Linked DNA regions of Bombyx mori. The protein of the gene in region 1 purifies or fractionates together with the protein of each later gene. This does not show direct contact. Links are inferred from orthologs where the notes say so. Each region holds a gene or a part of one and is shown on either strand. Other genes may lie near its edges. The genes, in order: intraflagellar transport protein 88 homolog and intraflagellar transport protein 46 homolog.

Evidence for each region.
Region 2: the proteins of intraflagellar transport protein 88 homolog (region 1) and intraflagellar transport protein 46 homolog purify together in Homo sapiens (affinity purification with mass spectrometry; 3 studies listed by BioGRID and IntAct, with this or other methods). This does not show direct contact. The link is inferred for Bombyx mori from reciprocal best matches to the Homo sapiens genes IFT88 and IFT46.

What each region holds. Positions count from the first base shown.
Region 1 is NC_085119.1:6,958,852-6,967,934, reverse strand, and holds part of intraflagellar transport protein 88 homolog, read right to left. Parts: intron 5,740-9,083; coding exon 5,502-5,739; intron 4,692-5,501; coding exon 4,478-4,691; intron 3,749-4,477; coding exon 3,577-3,748; intron 2,926-3,576; coding exon 2,823-2,925; intron 2,443-2,822; coding exon 2,329-2,442; intron 1,430-2,328; coding exon 1,321-1,429; intron 922-1,320; coding exon 814-921; intron 267-813; coding exon 204-266; intron 1-203. UniProt on the Homo sapiens protein: Positively regulates primary cilium biogenesis. Also involved in autophagy since it is required for trafficking of ATG16L and the expansion of the autophagic compartment.
Region 2 is NC_085131.1:2,006,951-2,016,048, forward strand, and holds the start of intraflagellar transport protein 46 homolog, read left to right. Parts: upstream 1-3,245; 5' UTR 3,246-3,422; coding exon 3,423-3,668; intron 3,669-4,737; coding exon 4,738-4,864; intron 4,865-5,746; coding exon 5,747-5,912; intron 5,913-9,098. Other genes in the region: putative leucine-rich repeat-containing protein DDB_G0290503, read left to right, coding at 1-192. UniProt on the Homo sapiens protein: Forms part of a complex involved in intraflagellar transport (IFT), the bi-directional movement of particles required for the assembly, maintenance and functioning of primary cilia. May play a role in chondrocyte maturation and skeletogenesis.

The DNA.
Region 1 (9,083 bases):
TATACCACACTACACCATCTAGAATTCGAAGACAGATCTTGATTTTGTCGGTGACATTTTGACCGACAACCTTTAAGTACTGTTTAAAAGTAATTAGAAGAGTTTATACTCTTAGCGATAAAACCGCCCGCCGCATTTCACTCTTCGTCTGTAAAGTTAACTTTATTTTGATTTTATATTGGTGTAGAATAAAGCTTACTCACCTCTTAAGTCGACTGGTGACAGACTCGCTCTGGACGATCCACTCCCCGCAGATATCACAGATGCTAAAAACATCGACTGGTATTAATGTGTCTTACTTACTACAAAATTATTGATGCATTTTTATTCGTGATCGGCGCCCTTATCTTAACGTTCACTATAAGGTTGAAATTCCAATGGCAATAGAATAAGGGTCATATGACAAACTAGAGTGCATGGTTCCTTAGATGATAGGTATGTATAAACAATTACTCTAGGTTAGCCGTCTACTACTAGTACTAGTAGTATAGTCAGTTAGCCGTGAGCTTGCTTACTAATCTATCCAATTTAAATTATTTAAAGTACATAAAAAATTTGAACATTTCAATATTTTACCTCCCGTCATTTTCAATTACAATTGAAACTTTATTTTATTTGAGTAAATAATACACAAATATGGTTATACAAATGAAACGATCTGTTGGTAAATAGGGAAAGAAATGTATAAATTGAGAAAGACAGGTCTTTTTGATTGGAGTTACAAGACTGGGTAGGAACATGAATGTTGTTCATACTGCTTGTGAGGGCCATTTTTTTAAAGTAAACGTTTGCCTGATGTAATGTTTGACGAACCTCTTTCCTGCTGCTTGAGCCTGGCCTGCGCACGCTGTAACTCTCGCGTCCACGTGCTCGTCTCAGATAAACCTTGATCTCCGCACAATTTCACTATTAATTTCAGACCTGAAAATATTTCAAGTATCTTCTCCATCAACTTAAAGAGAAGGGAATAATTTCTGCGGAAATATAGTTACTATATTATTCGACTCATCATAATCGGTTGCTCTTGGCAGAGCAGTCGTGGTCATGTGGAATTCTTGCTCATTAAAGCCTTGACAGATGTTTTCCATAGTTTGCGAACCGAGGCCTGACGCACACACTCGTTAAATGCGGTTTCAGTAAGGTCTTTCACCTGATTTATTTATTTATTCGACTATATTTCGCATAAATACACATTAAAATGACCTTTAGAGTGTTCGCTTATTTTCATTGTCAACTTTTGCCAACATCATTACTCTGAACTGATTTACATTTTTCTCTTTGTTATTTAAATCGACTTTTCAAGATAACAAGTTAACTCACATTGTACATTGTCGGGGAAACGGGTATTCATTTTCTTATACAGGCTGAGTGCTTCCTGGTACCGGCCCGTGGCTCGGAGGCAGCCGCCCATCAGTAAGCCCCATTGTGGCTGTTCGAGTTTTAATTATTATGACTAATTATAGGTGGGCCGGGTTCCTCTAGCGTCGTCTATTTACCCCTGTATCGTTCGTTACATTTTATATCGTCGTAGCCTAAAGGATAAGACGACCGGTGCATTCGGATGTAGCGATGCACCGGTGTTCGAAGCCCGCAGGCGGGTACCAATTTTTCTAACGAAATACGTACTTAACAAATACTCACGATTGACTTCCACGGTGAAGGAATAAGATTGTGTAGTAAAAATCAAACCCGCAAAATTATAATTTGCGTAATTACTGGTAGGACCGCTTGTGAGTCCGCACGGGTAGGTACCACCACCCTGCTTATTTCTGCCGTGAAGCAGTAATGCGTTTCGGTTTGAAGCGTGGGGCAGCCGTTGTAACTATACTGAGACCTTAGAACTTATATCTCAAGGTGAGTTGCGCATTTACGTTGTAGATGTCTATGTAACCACTTAACACCAGGTGGGCTGTGAGCTCGTCCACCCATCTAAGCAATAAATAAATAAAAAAGAAAGCAATTGCCCTTGTGTTGCTAAGTAGGTGCTGCAGTATTTATAAGTACCCCACTCCCCCGTTCTGGTTGACGCTTCCAATTTTACCCGTCATGTTGAAGTTTGAATAGCTTCGATAACACCAGCATTCTTTTCAACCCATAAAAGCGTACTAACTGCCAATTCCTGCCCAACTGACGTTACGTATACATAACTTCAAAATTCTCGCATAATACAGACGTCACGATAGCGTTCGACCACGAGCAAAAGTTATTGCTATAATATCAATTTTACTATCGCTTTTGTACTTACTTGACACTTACTTTAACATGATTTATTATTTGTTTATTACTGTTTGTTGTACTTGTACATTTTATTGACTGTATAATAATTACATTAGTCGGCTCTAGTCGCGCAGCTCGTCTGTAGTACTGCAAGGCGACATCTGGCGGTGACTCGCCCGCCAGCCACTCGAGGGCTGTTAAATCGCACGGCCATATTGCTTCTACCTGAATTAAAATGTAATAATATAAACCTAAAATGCCTTATCCTTACCTTTTACTATTCAATTCGAAGGAAAACAGAGCTGCATTGTCTTTGAACGGATTTGTTTACAGAAAATAAGTGTAAGCCAATTATACCTAGAAAATAGTCTTGTTTTATAAATTGTATGTATATTTTGTTTTTATTATGAAGTCAGCTAAAAATAGAACGTAAGCTGTAAAGCATAAGGTGGTTCATCAAAACATTGTATAATCAATGGACTTATTGCTTATTTTCTATGTAAGTTGTCAAGCATCAATTTTATTAATGTATTTTTTGGTTCGCACAAATAGTCAATCAGTCTAAATTATTGCCAGAATCGAGATTTTTTTTAAATTAAACTTACGTCTTGGTAATGGTGTTTGGCTGTTTGCGTATCGCCCATCTCGCTGTGGAGCTGGGCTAGGGCGGAGGTCACGCCTGCATCCCAATTTCCAATCAGACTGTACCTGTTGTCATGGTTTGCACTGTGATTGCCATTATTAATGTTGATCAGTTTTACAATGGGGTACATACATCTAATGTATACTATCTATATATAGTCTGTGCGTGTTTGTTACAGTTCAAAAACGAATCAAATGATATCCTTCTTCAAACAGATTTTCGTTGGAATTTTCATAAGTTCCAAATTCGGTTCTTTTTATTTTATTGCCCGAGCAGGCAGACGAGCATACGGCCCACGGATGGTCAGTGGTTACCGTAGCTCATGGACGTCAGCAATGGCAGGGGCAGAGCCAAGCCGCTGCCTACAGATACAATTATTGTGACATTCAAACTAGCGAAAATGTTGAGATTGGAAATTAAGTTTTGCTATTGCTATTGAAGTCGGCTGAGAGTTAGAACTCATTCGCACGAGAGTTTTTTTAGCGCGCGTTAAAAAAGCGTTCAAATACAACAGATGCATTTATTTGTATATTATGTTCATACGTCAGCGCTTTTAATACGCGACGCTTTTTTATCGCGCAGTTTTGCATTTTGAGCGCTATGCGTTGGGCGTTACAGATTACGTTACATCAAGAACGTTATAAAAGCGCCAACGCCGAATTTTAACGCAACGTTTTTCAAACGCCCGTACGAATGAGGGCTAAGTATGGAAGTACCAGTGTTCGGCGGCGGCGTGATCGGCGGGGTGGCGGAGCGCGAGGCGCGCGAGTGCGGCGGCGGCGAGCGGGCGCAGCGTGTGCGACGGCGCGCCGCACGCACGCACCCGCGACCAGCGCGCCGCCGCTACCGACAAGCCCTCCTGACCCGCTGTTTTCTCCAGGCACAGAGCTACAAACATTCAAATTGACAATGACGCTATCTTCCGCGAGGTATCAGAATAATAGGTACACTCGTGGACAAATTGTAAGTAACAGTTATAAAAATACTGGTGGTAGGACCCCTTGTGAGTCCACACGGGGAGGTGCCACCACCTCACCTGTTTCTGCCGTGAAGTTGCGTTGCGTTTCGGTTTGAAGGGTGGGGCAGCCGTTGTAACTATACTGAGACCTTAAAACGTATAATAATATCTCAAGATGGATGGCGCATTTACGTTGTAGATGTCTATGGGCTCCATTAACCACTTAACATCAGGTGGGCTGTTAGCTCGTCTACCCATCTAAGCAATAAAAACAAAAAAAGCAAAATATTGTTCTGCCATGAAAAGTTTGAAAAACAACGTTCGAACTACTGAGTAACGTCATCTGCTCGGTGGAAGATATTACTTTCACAACCATAACTATTATTTTTATAACAGTCCGTTTGCTGTAAGAATACAAGGCAACGGGGAGAAATGGTATCCGCGCGAAATCCTTCATCTTGTCCTCGGTGTGCTTTGGGTGAATTGTGCCTCATCTGAGTTCTGAGTTCTGTTTTCTGCGAGATTCGGATGCAGATTGTTGAGCGAAAGGGTATTTTAGTCGTTTATCTCTGATATCTCTCTGCCGCCCTTATACATAGGCGGATGTTTGGCGTTCTGTTTCCTCCTGACCGAAAAAAGGGCTTAAGAATATTATATACCTAAATCATGTGCAGCGATAAGGTCGGCCGGGTCGAGGTGTGTGGCCGCCGTGAGGGTTTCGGCTGCTTCCCGCCACGCCAGCTCCGGCGCCGCGTCCTCCGACAGCGACGCTTGCAGCGACGACAGCGCGAGCGTCACGCGCGCCGCGCACGAGTACGGATCGTCACGAGACGCCGACTCTGATAGTGAACGAGCCTCGCTCCAATTGCCCAGCTTGAATATAAACAAAAAAAAAACAATAGCACATTGTTGTCTGTTCCGTTGGTTGCGTTAGTTTCTAACGCGACTCGAACAGAAAAACTACGATCGAATTATTCTAAAGCACTACATATTATTTATTATTACAGACCGAATCAAAAAGCTTCTAATTCGATGTCTCTGATTAGTAACACTACCTTTTAATGGGTCGAAAGAATTACAAAAACCACAGAATTGAAGACTTAAACCATGATCAGAAAAAAATCTATATTGGTGTCAAAAGACAGTGATTTATCAAATATTAATCGGCAGAGACTCTGTATGGTTGATCAACGTACAACGACTATTTCTTATAGCAAAGGTTTGTTTGGCTAAGGATATAACGAATTATTCCAACTTATCCCGACCGTATAATGTGCGTTGTGCTTGTGAAATGTCATTCCCGCTCCTGCGGACAGAATGGAAAGCAGTCGACGTCGCCCCAAACATGTCATTATTTCGGATCCTCCCGATCCACTAACGATGCTTTTAGGTCCCTCAAGCACCGGTCATCGTTCTCGTCGAACCCGTCGCTTGCGACGAAGGGCTCGACGAGTAAATTAACCCACAGACACAGCCCACTGAGTTTCTCGCCGGATCTTCTCAGTGGGTCGCGTTTCCGATCCGGTGGTAGATTCTGCGAAGTACGCCTCTTGCTAGGGTTCGTGTTAGCAACGTCGTCAGGTTTGAGCCCCGTGAGCTCACCTACTAGTTAAGGTTACGCTGATATAGCCTCTCAAGGCTCTCAGCTTAGGTATGAAAAAAAAAGTGAAATGTAAAACTTACGGCGTAGGCAACGAAGGCTGCATCAGCATTGGCCTCGGCTCGTAGCACTCGGTCCTCAGCGTGCGCCTTCGCAACGGCCTTTAGTCGCTGCAGTACGGCGAGCCCGGAGCGGGCGGTGCGGGAGGCGCGCAGGGACGAGAGCGCCGCGCCAAGCTCCAGCCGCCCCCCCGCCGCGCCGCCCGCGCCCCCCGCACCGCTGTACCCGCGCAACGCCTCCACACACCACGACATGCCAGTGCTACCCCATATGACATCGCTCTCTTTAACCAGTGCCGAAGCCAGGTTTGAGCCCCGTGAGCTCACCTACTCGTCCGTTAACGCTAAGCTATCAAGGCTATCAGCATAGGTAGAAAAAAAAACTGTGCCGAAAGGCAGTTGACACCAATAAACATCATGCACAATATCAACGCGACTTCTTAGAATAACGATTTCTACCTTTCACACCATAGCATATAATTACCTCGCGGCAAGACGATGGGTTCGTCCCGTATGGTCGTTGGGACCTACAATAGGCACCCAACGGGCTATGCTTCTAACATTTCTGATGTCGAAGAGCGACATTGACCAGTCATTGGCAGGTATGTGAACGAAAGCACAAAAAAACTACGATCGTAATAAATTTGCCTATTTCATTTTATTAGTCGTTAGCGAAAACTCATGCACATAAATTGCAACTAGTGAAATCCGCTCTCATGATGCATTGTGACTATCGCTAATTGCATGAAAAATAACTAACCCGGACAATAATTATGCTATATACTATAGCAAAAACCTTCCCTGGGGTATCAAAAGCAAGACATCTGTTTCATCATCGGATGAATGGTTTAGAAAACAGATATTGATTTTTATTTAAATGTATTGGCACTTGTTACACTTTCGAACGGGATCGAAATATTAACCGCCTTGGAATAATAGTAATCTACCATTTGTACCGAAAAACATGACTAAGACTATCATTACCGGCAAACGGAGATTTTGCGCGCAAGGACTCGGTTCACTCTATTCAATTATAACTAGTCAGGTCATAAGTGAGTCGACTATTATCAAAGCCGGCAATCTGACTTTTGGACAATGATTGGTAAATCAGAATAACGAATTATTGACTTTGTATTTCATTGGCAGTCACAAAACTCTTCGGAACGACAACTTAGATAAATAACAGATTAACTATTAACCTTTATTTAATGCAGGTTTTGAACCGTATTCTTTGAAGGAGACGATTATATTCAAATCAATCTGTATTGACATATCAATAAAAAATTTTTGTCCAAATGCACAGATTGCCACCTTTGATAATAGACGACTCAAGTATTGTCACACAGTAAAAACTTTTCTTTTAGAATGCTGGTCACAAAAAAGTTTATTGAATTCGAATTTCGAATTGTTCATGAAAATAAAAATGTATACCGTAAAATGGGGCGATTAGGGACAAATTCCAACTTTATGAGCAATTTTAAGGTAGTTGTTGATGTATATAATGCTATATCAGGATCAAAATGATTGAGTCTTGGGGGCATCTTTGTTGTCTAATTTAAAATTATGCAACTAGCATTCCAGTTTAAGCAAAAAATGCAAAAATAGGTGTAATCCCTATTTACCCGAAACTTGCGGTTAATTGGGACGAAATGAGAAATTTGCTAGGGTTGGCACTACTTTTATTTTTATATATAGTTTTAATTTATTTATTTATTTAGTTGCACCAACAAAGTGATCATCAATAAAAAAAATTGAAAAACTGACAAAAGTACATGGCAGACATCACCTCAATTATAGGTGCAATCGACAGTGCTGATATTTCAATCTGGGTTAAGAGATTAGGTGTGTCGGTTATTCCATGGATTAATCAGATGAATACCCCCACTCTGAACAAATATTAAATATTTTATTATGTATTACTTAGACATTTTTGTCCACCTTGAGATTTCATTGATCTTGTTACATGTCTCTGCAAAATCGACTTACTTATATTAAATTGCTTATCTATTTCAACTAAAGACTTATTCCCAATTTCGCTTCGAATAAACCAGATTTTTACCAACAAATTTAAAAAATATTGTTATAACTACATAGACAATCCTATAAACCTGTACCTATTTATACTTAGGTCGTTTCCATTTCACGTATTCTCATCCCAATTGACCCCTTTTTCGTTGTTATTTGTACCTAAGACGTCCCCAATATCCCCAAAAACAACAGATTTTTACATGTATTTTTATTTAATCAAATACATTAAAACCAATAACAACTGAGACTTACCTTTAATATATATGCTGGTTCAAACACTAAATAACGTTTATAAATCATAGTCGTCTTCTATTATTATCAAATAAATAAAAGAGAGCAAAGTTTCTAGCACTAAAATAATTACCACCACAGGAAGTTAATTTGAAACGCGATTTTTCATAAGTTAGCAGGTATTATCATGCATATTCAGAATTGTTTTGTGAACTTTCAACATTCTACTATTAAACTACAAAAAATGGAAGATTTTGCAACGAATATAAAACTTATATTGAGCGTCGAAAGATTTTCCCGGTTTTTTCCCGATTCGCCTCTCAATCCCTAATCGCCCCATTTTACCGGTACTTTTAGAATTTTACTCATTTTTAAATATGGAGTGGACGCTTAAAGAAGACCGTGTTGCAGTTATTGCGTTGCATCGTTGCGGTTACGCGCCAATTCAAATTTTTAACATACTGAAAAATTTGAATATAACCAAAAGATTCGTTTATCGTACCATCAAACGATACAATGAAGACTCTAGTGTAGATGACAGGTCAAGAAGTGGTCGCCCTCGGTCTGTTAGGATTCCAGCAGTGATAAAAGCTGTGAAGGCGCGAATTCAAAGAAATCCCAAACTTAAGCAGAAACTGTTGGCCCTTCAGATGGGGTTAAGCAGAACCACGGTGAAAAGGGTGTTAAATGAAGACTTAGGGCTTCGGGCATATCGAAGAAAAACAGGACATCGTTTGAATGCTCGTCTAATGGACCTGAGACTGAAGAGATGCCGCGCTTTGTTGAAGCGGTACGCGGGAAAAAAATATCGGGAAATTCTTTTTTCGGATGAAAAAATTTTTACTGTAGAAGAGAGCTACAACAAACAAAATGATAAGGTGTACGCACACAGTAGTGAAGAAGCGAGCAACCGTATTCCGCGTGTCCAACGAGGTCATTTTCCATCCTCGCTCATGGTATGGTTGGGAGTTTCTTATTGGGGCTTAACAGAGGTACATTTTTGTGAGAAAGGTGTAAAAACGAATGCAGTTGTGTATCAAAATACAGTCCTGACGAACCTTGTGGAACCTGTTTCTCATACCATGTTCAATAACAGGCACTGGGTATTCCAACAAGATTCGGCGCCAGCTCATAGAGGGAAGAGCACACAAGACTGGCTGGCAGCGCGTGAAATCGACTTCATCCGGCACGAAGACTGGCCCTCCACCAGTCCAGATTTGAATCCGTTAGATTACAAGATATGGCAACACTTGGAGGAAAAGGCGTGCTCAAAGCCTCATCCCAATTTGGAGTCACTCAAGACATCCTTGACTAAGGCAGCCGCCGATATTGACATGGACCTCGTTC
Region 2 (9,098 bases), on another chromosome or scaffold:
AAACTAAATCACGCCAACGACGAATTGCAGAGGCTGAACAGATCTCACGAGGCGGAGGTGGTCAAACTAAACGCTATGATCAAACGCAAGGAGCTTCATATAACGTCGCTGGAGGAGACCTTAGCTCAGAAAACTAAGGCGAACGAGGAACTGACCGCGATATGCGACGAACTCATAAACAAAGTCGGCTGAACTAATTTTAGACGAACATAAAAACATATTGTTGTTTTTTTATTGCGTGTCTGTGATTCGAGCTCTTGTTTCGGTCGCTTGTGGGCTTATCGTTTGTGATAAGTCGCATTAAGTTTACGTTTACCCTTCGCCAAGTTTCGTGCCAAAATATTACGTAACTCGCGGCTCTCGTGTAGCGCCAAGACTGTCTAGTGTGATACGAAATTACAATTGATTTTTGATATAATTTTTTTTCCATAAAACACTGTGATCTTGTCAACAATTATGTGCCTTTTAGAGTGTAAAACATTCAATATTTCTAAACGAGAAATGCACTGTTTGTATTATGCTGGACATAACTAAACAGTGTTTTTAAAAAAAAAAGATGATGAAGTGAATAGTCTGAATTACTTGTGAATTGAAACTTTAAATCTCGTAAAATTTTACATTGTTAAATAATTATGTAGAATCTTATTGGATATATTTGTACCTATAGAGAATAGAAAAATGTGTAAAATAAATATATAGATATCCTTAAAAGTTGTTATTCACAGAGATTACTTATTTTATGTATCTCTAAAAACAATGAAAACGATAGTAATTGGAGCTTTAAAAATGCGTAGCCATGTTTTTGGAAATGAACAACGAATTGTCGATATCTGTCTCGTTATAATAACTCGCGTTAAGATTAGTGTAAGATTGTAATTAATAAATTTACATTTTTAGTCCCGCAAAATTGTTCTAATTCATTTTAAATTTAAAGTATACCACATAAATCCCTAACCACCCATGAACTTGCATTACTATAAACCAATAAGGATTAAGGATTCCTTGCAAGTTTCATCATTATTGCGCATGTCCAATCATTTTGTAATCTGTACTCGATGTAATGTCGCTAAAAATATTAAAATGCGTACAGAAAAGTAAGTCAGATAAAAACGCTGTAAGATTGTGTTAAACAAATTTAACTTTAGATTAATGTTAGTACATAGTTTAATAGTTGTAATAAATTAGTCACACTCTTTTCTTTCCTAAGCACGAGTTGGCACGGTTTGTATGTGCCAATTATTTTTGTATGATATTGAAATTTGACATTATTTTTAGTTGAATAAAGTTATTGACCTATTTGTATGTTAGTGTTTTATTCTTCTTGCCGTGTACCTTAGTTCTGTTTATTCTAGTTTTAAAACAAAAGTATTTGTGAGAAGCAAAAATTAGGCACAGATAATAATTTCTTTCAAAGTAAACATTTCTCCTGTTCCCTGGCCAAACTAATGGATGACAAACAAGGATCTATTTTCAACAATTTTGACGCTAGGCGGGAAAATTATAACGGACTAGCTGTACCCGTTCGCTACACTGGGCATTTAAAATTAACATTATTATTTCTCACCCCCACAAAGATTCTCATCATTAACGCCCCCGCAACTGGTGTAGGGAGTGGAACACTCATATAAATATTAGCTTATCCATTAAGTACATGTATTTTCTACATGGATACCAAGTTTCAAGTCAATCGAATGCATGGTTCAGTAGTAATAACGGAACATCAGTAAAAACCACTATAGATTTATATATTAGTATAGATAATACGGATTCGGCCGTTGTACAGGCTTGCTGTTCTTTATTTTGAAATAAAAGTAGCTCTAGGAAGTTCAAGTCACATTCCCATATTTGATTGATAATTAGACGCATTTACATTCGCTGAAGGTCATGAAGAAACTCAATCTCGCAGATGAGCGAGAGGCCTTTTTTTTCCTACCTAAGATGATAGCCTTGAGAGGCTATTTCAGCGTAACCTTAACTAGTAGGTGAGCTCACGGGCCTCAAACCGGAGTGATGTACTGACCCTAGCAAGAGCAGTGCTTCGCAGAATCTACCACCGGATCGGAAACGCGCCCTACTGAGAAGATCCGGCAAGAAACTCCGTGGACTGTGTCTATGGGTCAATGTGTTCGTCGAGTAACGTTCGTCGTTCCCTTCGTCGCAAGCGACGGGTTCGACGAGGACGGTGACCGATGCTTGTGGTACCTAAAAGCACCGTTAATGAATCGGGAGGATCCGTAATGACGTGTTTTGGGCGACGTCGACTGATTACCATTCGGTGTAGGTACAGGATCGGGTATGTAGTTTCCAGCGGCCACGACAAGAGCGTTCTCATGTCGTGCCGCCTTCTCAAAGTGGCGCAATGATGCCGACTGTAGATACTTACTGACTGATCAAGTTCCAGGTCATCATGCAGATTGAGCGGCCTAAATGCAACTTTTATATGTGTGCCCATGTCCTTTTATGAACACATTTCATGTTACGATATGACGAAAGATATCAAAATCGTGCACTTTTTATATTATGGGTGTAATGAGGAACAATACTAAAAAGTAAATAATTTTAAACCATTTTACTTATTCGGCTTAATAATATTCGAAAGTATAGAATTGTCCCAAAATGAATAGAAAAAAAAAATGTAGGTATCTATGTTTTATTATTATTTGTGAATCTTGTTATTGTATATTTTTAATTTAAATAACTGAATCTTCATGGTTTAGTTTTGTTTTATTTTACTGCACACTTTTCCACCTTTGTGACCTACGGACTTCTGATTTTGGTTTGCCGGAAAAGTTAGAGTTCCCACTTTCCCACTTGCCTTTGAAGCATACAATTTACATATTTTTTACTGGTGGCAGGACTTCCTGTGAGTCCGCACGGGTAGGTACCACCGCCCCGCCTATTTCTGCCGTGAAGCAGTAATGCGTTTCGGTTTGAAGGGCGGGGCAGCCGTTGTAACTATACTGAGACCTTAGAACTTATGTCTCAAGGTGGGTGGTGCATTTACGTTAATGTCTATGGGCTCCAATAACCACTTAACACCGGGTGGGCTGTGAGCTCGTCCATCCATCTAAGCAATAAAAAAAAAAAACAATTTAAATTGAGTCGTATGTGTAATATTTCTTTGTACAGTAAACAATAAATAACAATAATACTAATTTTATAATAATATGCATTTTTATTTCAATTCAACTGTTAACTTTTTTCTTTAAGTAAAAGTCATTAGACGCGTTTGTCACGATCAGACGTAATGGGTTTTGCGTCTACAAAAAAATGAATCTAACGTAAATTAATAAAACCACATCGCAAAACTTTCGTACCAATCCGTGCCACGTGAGCGAAAAACATCCGATGAGACCACAAAAAGGTGCTATTTCCATGCAGGTTCCGCGATAGACACACCGAAACGCGGTTCGCTCGTTTCCATGGCAACTAATGACAAACAGTCACAGACGGCCAGGACTCCTGAGAATGTTCCAATGTATGACGAGACCGTGGTGGTAGACGCTAGCGAGATCGACAGCCCCTCGAGCGACGAGGAAGTGGTCAGAGCTACTATGGCCAAGTTCAATCCCCCGGTGAGACACACAGCGCGACACGACTTCGATTCTGACAGTCAAAGCGATTCGGGATCTGACAACTTCTTGGGTAACACGTCCTTAGAAGATAAGGTAGGTCTTTGTCTTTTTCTGAACTGTTTCCGAGTTTTATGAATGAATAATCGTACTAAATTTACCGACATAATATATGGTAATATGTTAACAAGAAAACTATAGATAGCACTTATTGAAATATTCGAAATAAAAATGAGCACTCTTAAATTCGAGAATGTTTTTTTTTTGCGTTCTTCGCTACCGATGGCAGGCGTTTTGCTTAATCGAAATGACGAAAAATCTATAGAAATATTTATATCAGTGAGCAGTCAACATTTATAGTTTGATTTTTGATTTTTTACTTGTGGTAGGACCTCTTGTGAGTCCGTGCGTGTGGGTACCACCACATTGCCTATTTCGGCTGCGAAGCAGTAATGCGTTTCAGGTTGAAGGGTGGAGCAGCCGTTGTATATACTTGAGACCTTAGAACTTATATCTCAAGGTGGGTGGCGCATTTACGTTGTGGATGTCTATGGGCTCCAGTAACCACTTAACACCAGGCGGGCTGTGAGCTCGTCCACCTATCTCAGCAATAAAAAAAAAATTATAATGCTAAGTTAAAAAAACAATGGCTGCGATCGGGTTAACGAATTTATACCGCACGGACATCGTAGTGCAATGATCTGTTTGAAAAAATGCACCAGGAATTTTCTATTCTCATCCGCGTTTAACGCGTTTCCTTGAGATCTCATATCAAAGTGTTTTATGGTGGCCGCGTCCAGACGTTGTACGTTGTTGCAGCTGTAAGCGGTTAGCTTCAGCAAATAATATTGTTTAGTTTATAACATCATTAACGTTTGTACCGAGAAATATTTTGAGATTCAATGATTTATATTTATTGTTTATTTAGCTCACTGCCCGTTGTAACTGTAGTGAGACTTTAGAACTTAGAACCTTAGAACATGAGTTGTAAGGTTTCACTTTTAACAGTACAACGGCTGTCCCGCCCTTCAAACCGAAATACATTACTACTTCACGACAGAAATAGGTATTGTAGTGGTACCTAACCATACGGACTCACAAGACGTGTTACCCCCAGTAAGGCTGGCTTACGAGGATCTCTGAAGATACAAGCATTATGTTTTAGGTACCAGACAAGAAGCCGCTTGTGCCCGAGAAAGCGAATGATGTCCAGAAAAACGTTACGAAGGTTACCAAGGCAGGCAGCGAGAGACCCAAAGCGTCCTCCAAACGTAATGATTCTTCTAATTCTGGTGAGTTAAAAAAATCAAATACTGCTACAGACCGCAGATAACAGTCTTTATACCTCTAAACCGATAGAGGTACTCACGTCCCACCTGGTGCTAAATGGTCACCGGAGCCCATAAGTCCTACGAACAAATGGTCTTGAAAAATAAAACCTCTAAGTGATGTTTAATAGTACACCGAAATAACCCAAACTATTCAAAAAGTCCAACTCTACCGTACAATAGACTGTCTTATCACTAAAACTGTAACTATACTGTGTAGGCTGTGAGCTCGTCCACTCATCCAAGCAATAAAAAAAAGTATAGGCTACTATATAAGGCCTTCAGCGCAAAAGTGGTCTAAGCTTACCTGAGCTTACTATAATAAGTATGGAGACAATGAGGTCTGAATTTGCTGACCTGTACTGACTGCCGACCGAACCTGTAGACCGAATGGTATACAGTCGACGTTGTCCAAAACACGTCATTACGGATCCTCCCGATCCATTAACGGTGCTTTTAGGTACTACAAGCACCGGTTACCGTCCTCGTCGAACCCGTCGCTTACGACGAAGGGCTCGACGAGCGAATTAACCCATAGACACAGCCCACTGAGTTTCTCGCCGAATCTTCTGAGTGGGTCGCGTTTCTGATCCGATGGTAAATTCTGCGAAGTAGTGCTCTTGCTAGGCCCGGTGTTAGCAACAGTCCGGTTTGAGCATCGTGAGCTCACCTACACGTTAGGGTGAAGCTGAAATAGCCTCTCAAGGCTATTAGCATAGGTAGGAAGAACAAAAAAACTACGAATATCAAATAATGTAGGATAGGCCACTTTTGTGCTGACGGCCTCATATATGGCACTATAGTATAGCGTAGTCTGAAATCAGCTTTAATCATCTTATAATTCAGAAACAGATAGCGGAGAAATGGAACGCGAGCGACCCGACCCCCTGATAGGCAGCGGTCGCAAGCGAGGCGGCGTCGTGATACCAGCTGAAGGCGCGTACGATCCCAAGCTGTATCAGGATCTGAAGGTTCCGCCTGAAATGGAAAACATCTTTCAGTATATTATGAAGTGAGAACCTATGTCTTTACAGTTTTCGTTTGCTGCACACGAGTTTCTTTGACTACGATGATAAGCATTTTCTGATGGCAAGTGATTGTGGACTCAATAGGCGTTTTGCCTTATGTGTATGCACAAACTTTACATACATTATATACGACCTGTACCCACTGCTGTCCCGTTCCATATATGTATACATATTCTTAAAATAATTATTGCACAGAAGAATGAAGTACCTTTGAAAATTAGGAGAATCTACTTTTACAACAAATTTGTAAAGTAAAATCGACAGTAAGAAACGCGAGATTAAACCGTAAAAATAGTTTTAAATCCGATTACGTCTCGCCGATACCGCAAAGTAAATAAGCTCAATGAAATAATTCTCATTTTCTTATTGTGAAAAAGTCGTTATATTAGTCCAGCCGGTCAAGTTTTAGAGTAAGAAAACAGTTAAATACGAAATATTGACTTCGACTTTGTTAAACAGGAATTTTAAATTCGACCCGGTGCAACACTATGCTACTGTAAATTTTATAGTAGTTTTTATATTTATGTACCAGCGGCCGGCGCGCTAATATGCGAATCCTCGGGCATTGATGACGTATATGTAACTGATCCATGTTACGAAAACGCTTTTTTTTGTCAGGAGGAAATCACCGGACTTCCGCCCTCCACTGGGGATGGAGGGCGGGGCATGTCGGAGTCGAACCGACTAAAGCCTCCTGTCGCTCAACAACCAGCATCCAAATCTCGCATGAGACATAACTAATGAAAAAGCAAAGGGGAGAAAGCAAAGCGTTTAGTGCGGAGCACATCTCTCCCATCACCCTCTCCCTCTTTTGTTGGTAGTCGGGTTTCAATATTTCCTTCGTGCTCTTTTCGAGATTGAATTTTTAAAAGCCAATTATTTATACTCCACTGCACCCGCGTTGGAACTTAATATGTGCCACGAGATATTTTCTCCGGTTAACGAGCGATTTTAGGTCATCAAAATAAAATTAGCAAAATGACTGTTGATTCTAGGACAGTGGGAGTTACGATAGTAATTATTGTGAACCCGTACGGGTAGATACCACTGCTCCGCTTATTTCTGCCGCCAAAGAACCACGGGTTCTGGTTTATAGAATAATCTGAACATTGTGTATCTGAAATTGTCTATTTTCCCGCTCAAATATTGTCCCAAAAACACAGCCCACTGAGTTTCTCGCCGGATCTTCTTAGTGGGTCGCGATTCCGATTCTGTGGTAGATTCTCCGAAACACCGCTCTTGCTAGGGCTAGTGTTAGCAATTTCTCTTAGGTTGATCCTCACCTATTCGTCCGCGAGAAGCTGGGATATCCCCTTAGGATGTCAGCAAATCGGTAGGTAGGGAAAAAAGCTCAAACATTGTTTGACATGTATCACGGTAAAAACATAAAGAAAAACAAAGACGAACGCATTCCTAAATTTTCATAGTTATCAAGATATCCCAGAACATCAATTATAAATTATTAACGGAATAGTTAGTGCGCTCTACATATCGTCCTTTAATGCGATATATCAAATTTACAGACATGTGGGCGAAACGCCTACAGTTTAACCTTGCTAGATCTAGAGTTAAACTAAAATTAACGGTTAACAACTCTTTAGTAATAGACATTAGGTCGAATTCGAGCTGGCAATTGAAATCTAATAAGATTATTAGCGTCAACCAGGTTAGGGTTTGCAGTGGTCCGAGGAAGGTTTATTTACTCTTTCAAAACCAATATTCGATTGTGTCTGTATTTGTAAAAACTAAGTTTACCTTTTTATCATCATAGTCGGTTGTTCTTGGCAGAGCAGTCGTGGTCATGTGGAATTCTTGTCTATCAAAGCCTTGACAGATATTCCCATAGTTTATAGATATATTTCCATAGTTTGCAAATTGAGGCTTGGCGCACGCACTCGTTAAGTGGGGTTTTAGTAAGGTCTTTCACCTGATCAGTCTAGCTTTACCTTTTAATGTTGTAAAAATAGGTTCCACTGCCTCAATGTTGAATTAAATGGATTTTACTCTTCAGGTAAGGAATTTAGGGAACCCGATATTTCAATGTAACAATACGTTTCGACTTTGTTTTTTGTATATCTACCGGTGGTCTCGAAGGGCCATTTTGGCTTCATCCTGGCTCATGGATGAGCTCACGAGGCTCAGCCTGAAAGAGTTTCGGAATATCTGTCCTAGAAAGAGCAGTGCTTCACTGCATCTAACATCGGATCGAAATCGCAACCCACTGAGAAGGTCAGGCGAGGAATTCTATGGGTTGTGTCTATGGATTAGGATGCACGTCGAACTCACGAGAAAAATGACCGGGAGAGAATCTGAAAGGACACCTTGGGCGAAGTCGACTCTTCGTTGTCCCGTTGTCTGAGTCGGGTTTGTAGTTAGCTGACATTTCGACAGTCTATGAATATGCTCCAAGTTTGTATTGTCTATAAGCTCCAGTACTGAAGAATCTGATTCGGTGTCCAGAGGGGGCCCCGGTCTGCTTCTTTCGAGACTCAAGCACCCCTTGTTGAGCTACAGGAGGCCTTAGCCGATTCAACCCCGACATACCACTCTTAAGGCAAACAGCACATAGGCGAATGCCCGGAGATTTCCTAAATCCAAACAAAAAGATCTCTAGCAACTGTTAAGTACCATAGATAATCTGTTAAAACATTTGAGTGAAGCATACAACTGTTGCTGCTATAGCCCTACTGGGAGCTAAATTTATAAAAGCGAAACCCGTCATATTGTTTAAGCGCGTGTATAATTCACAATATGTTATTGTACGTGAGCACGCGATCATACCTTGTATCACGAAAACTTGAAATCGCATATTTCCGGTAGAAAGATTTTTAATTTGATGGATTTTATTATTTTGTTTCTTTTTTTTTTTACAATATTCGCAACTCTAAGAGTATGTTTAATACTTTCACACGTTTCGTAGACCCGCAAGCTATATCGAACTAAAATTCGGCAGTCATCGAACCCGGGGTCAATGAACGCAAATTTTGTAAGTAAATCATGTTGATCTTGATTGATATCCCTCTCACAAAGTAGACCAATAAACGTCATGATCTTTGAGTGTGTTTCAAAGACTCCCAAATTACGAGATAGACTGCAGGGCCCCATCATATCAGATTCAGATTGGGACTAATACTTTTTGGCAGGTAGGGGTAGTATATTATTTCTGTTTC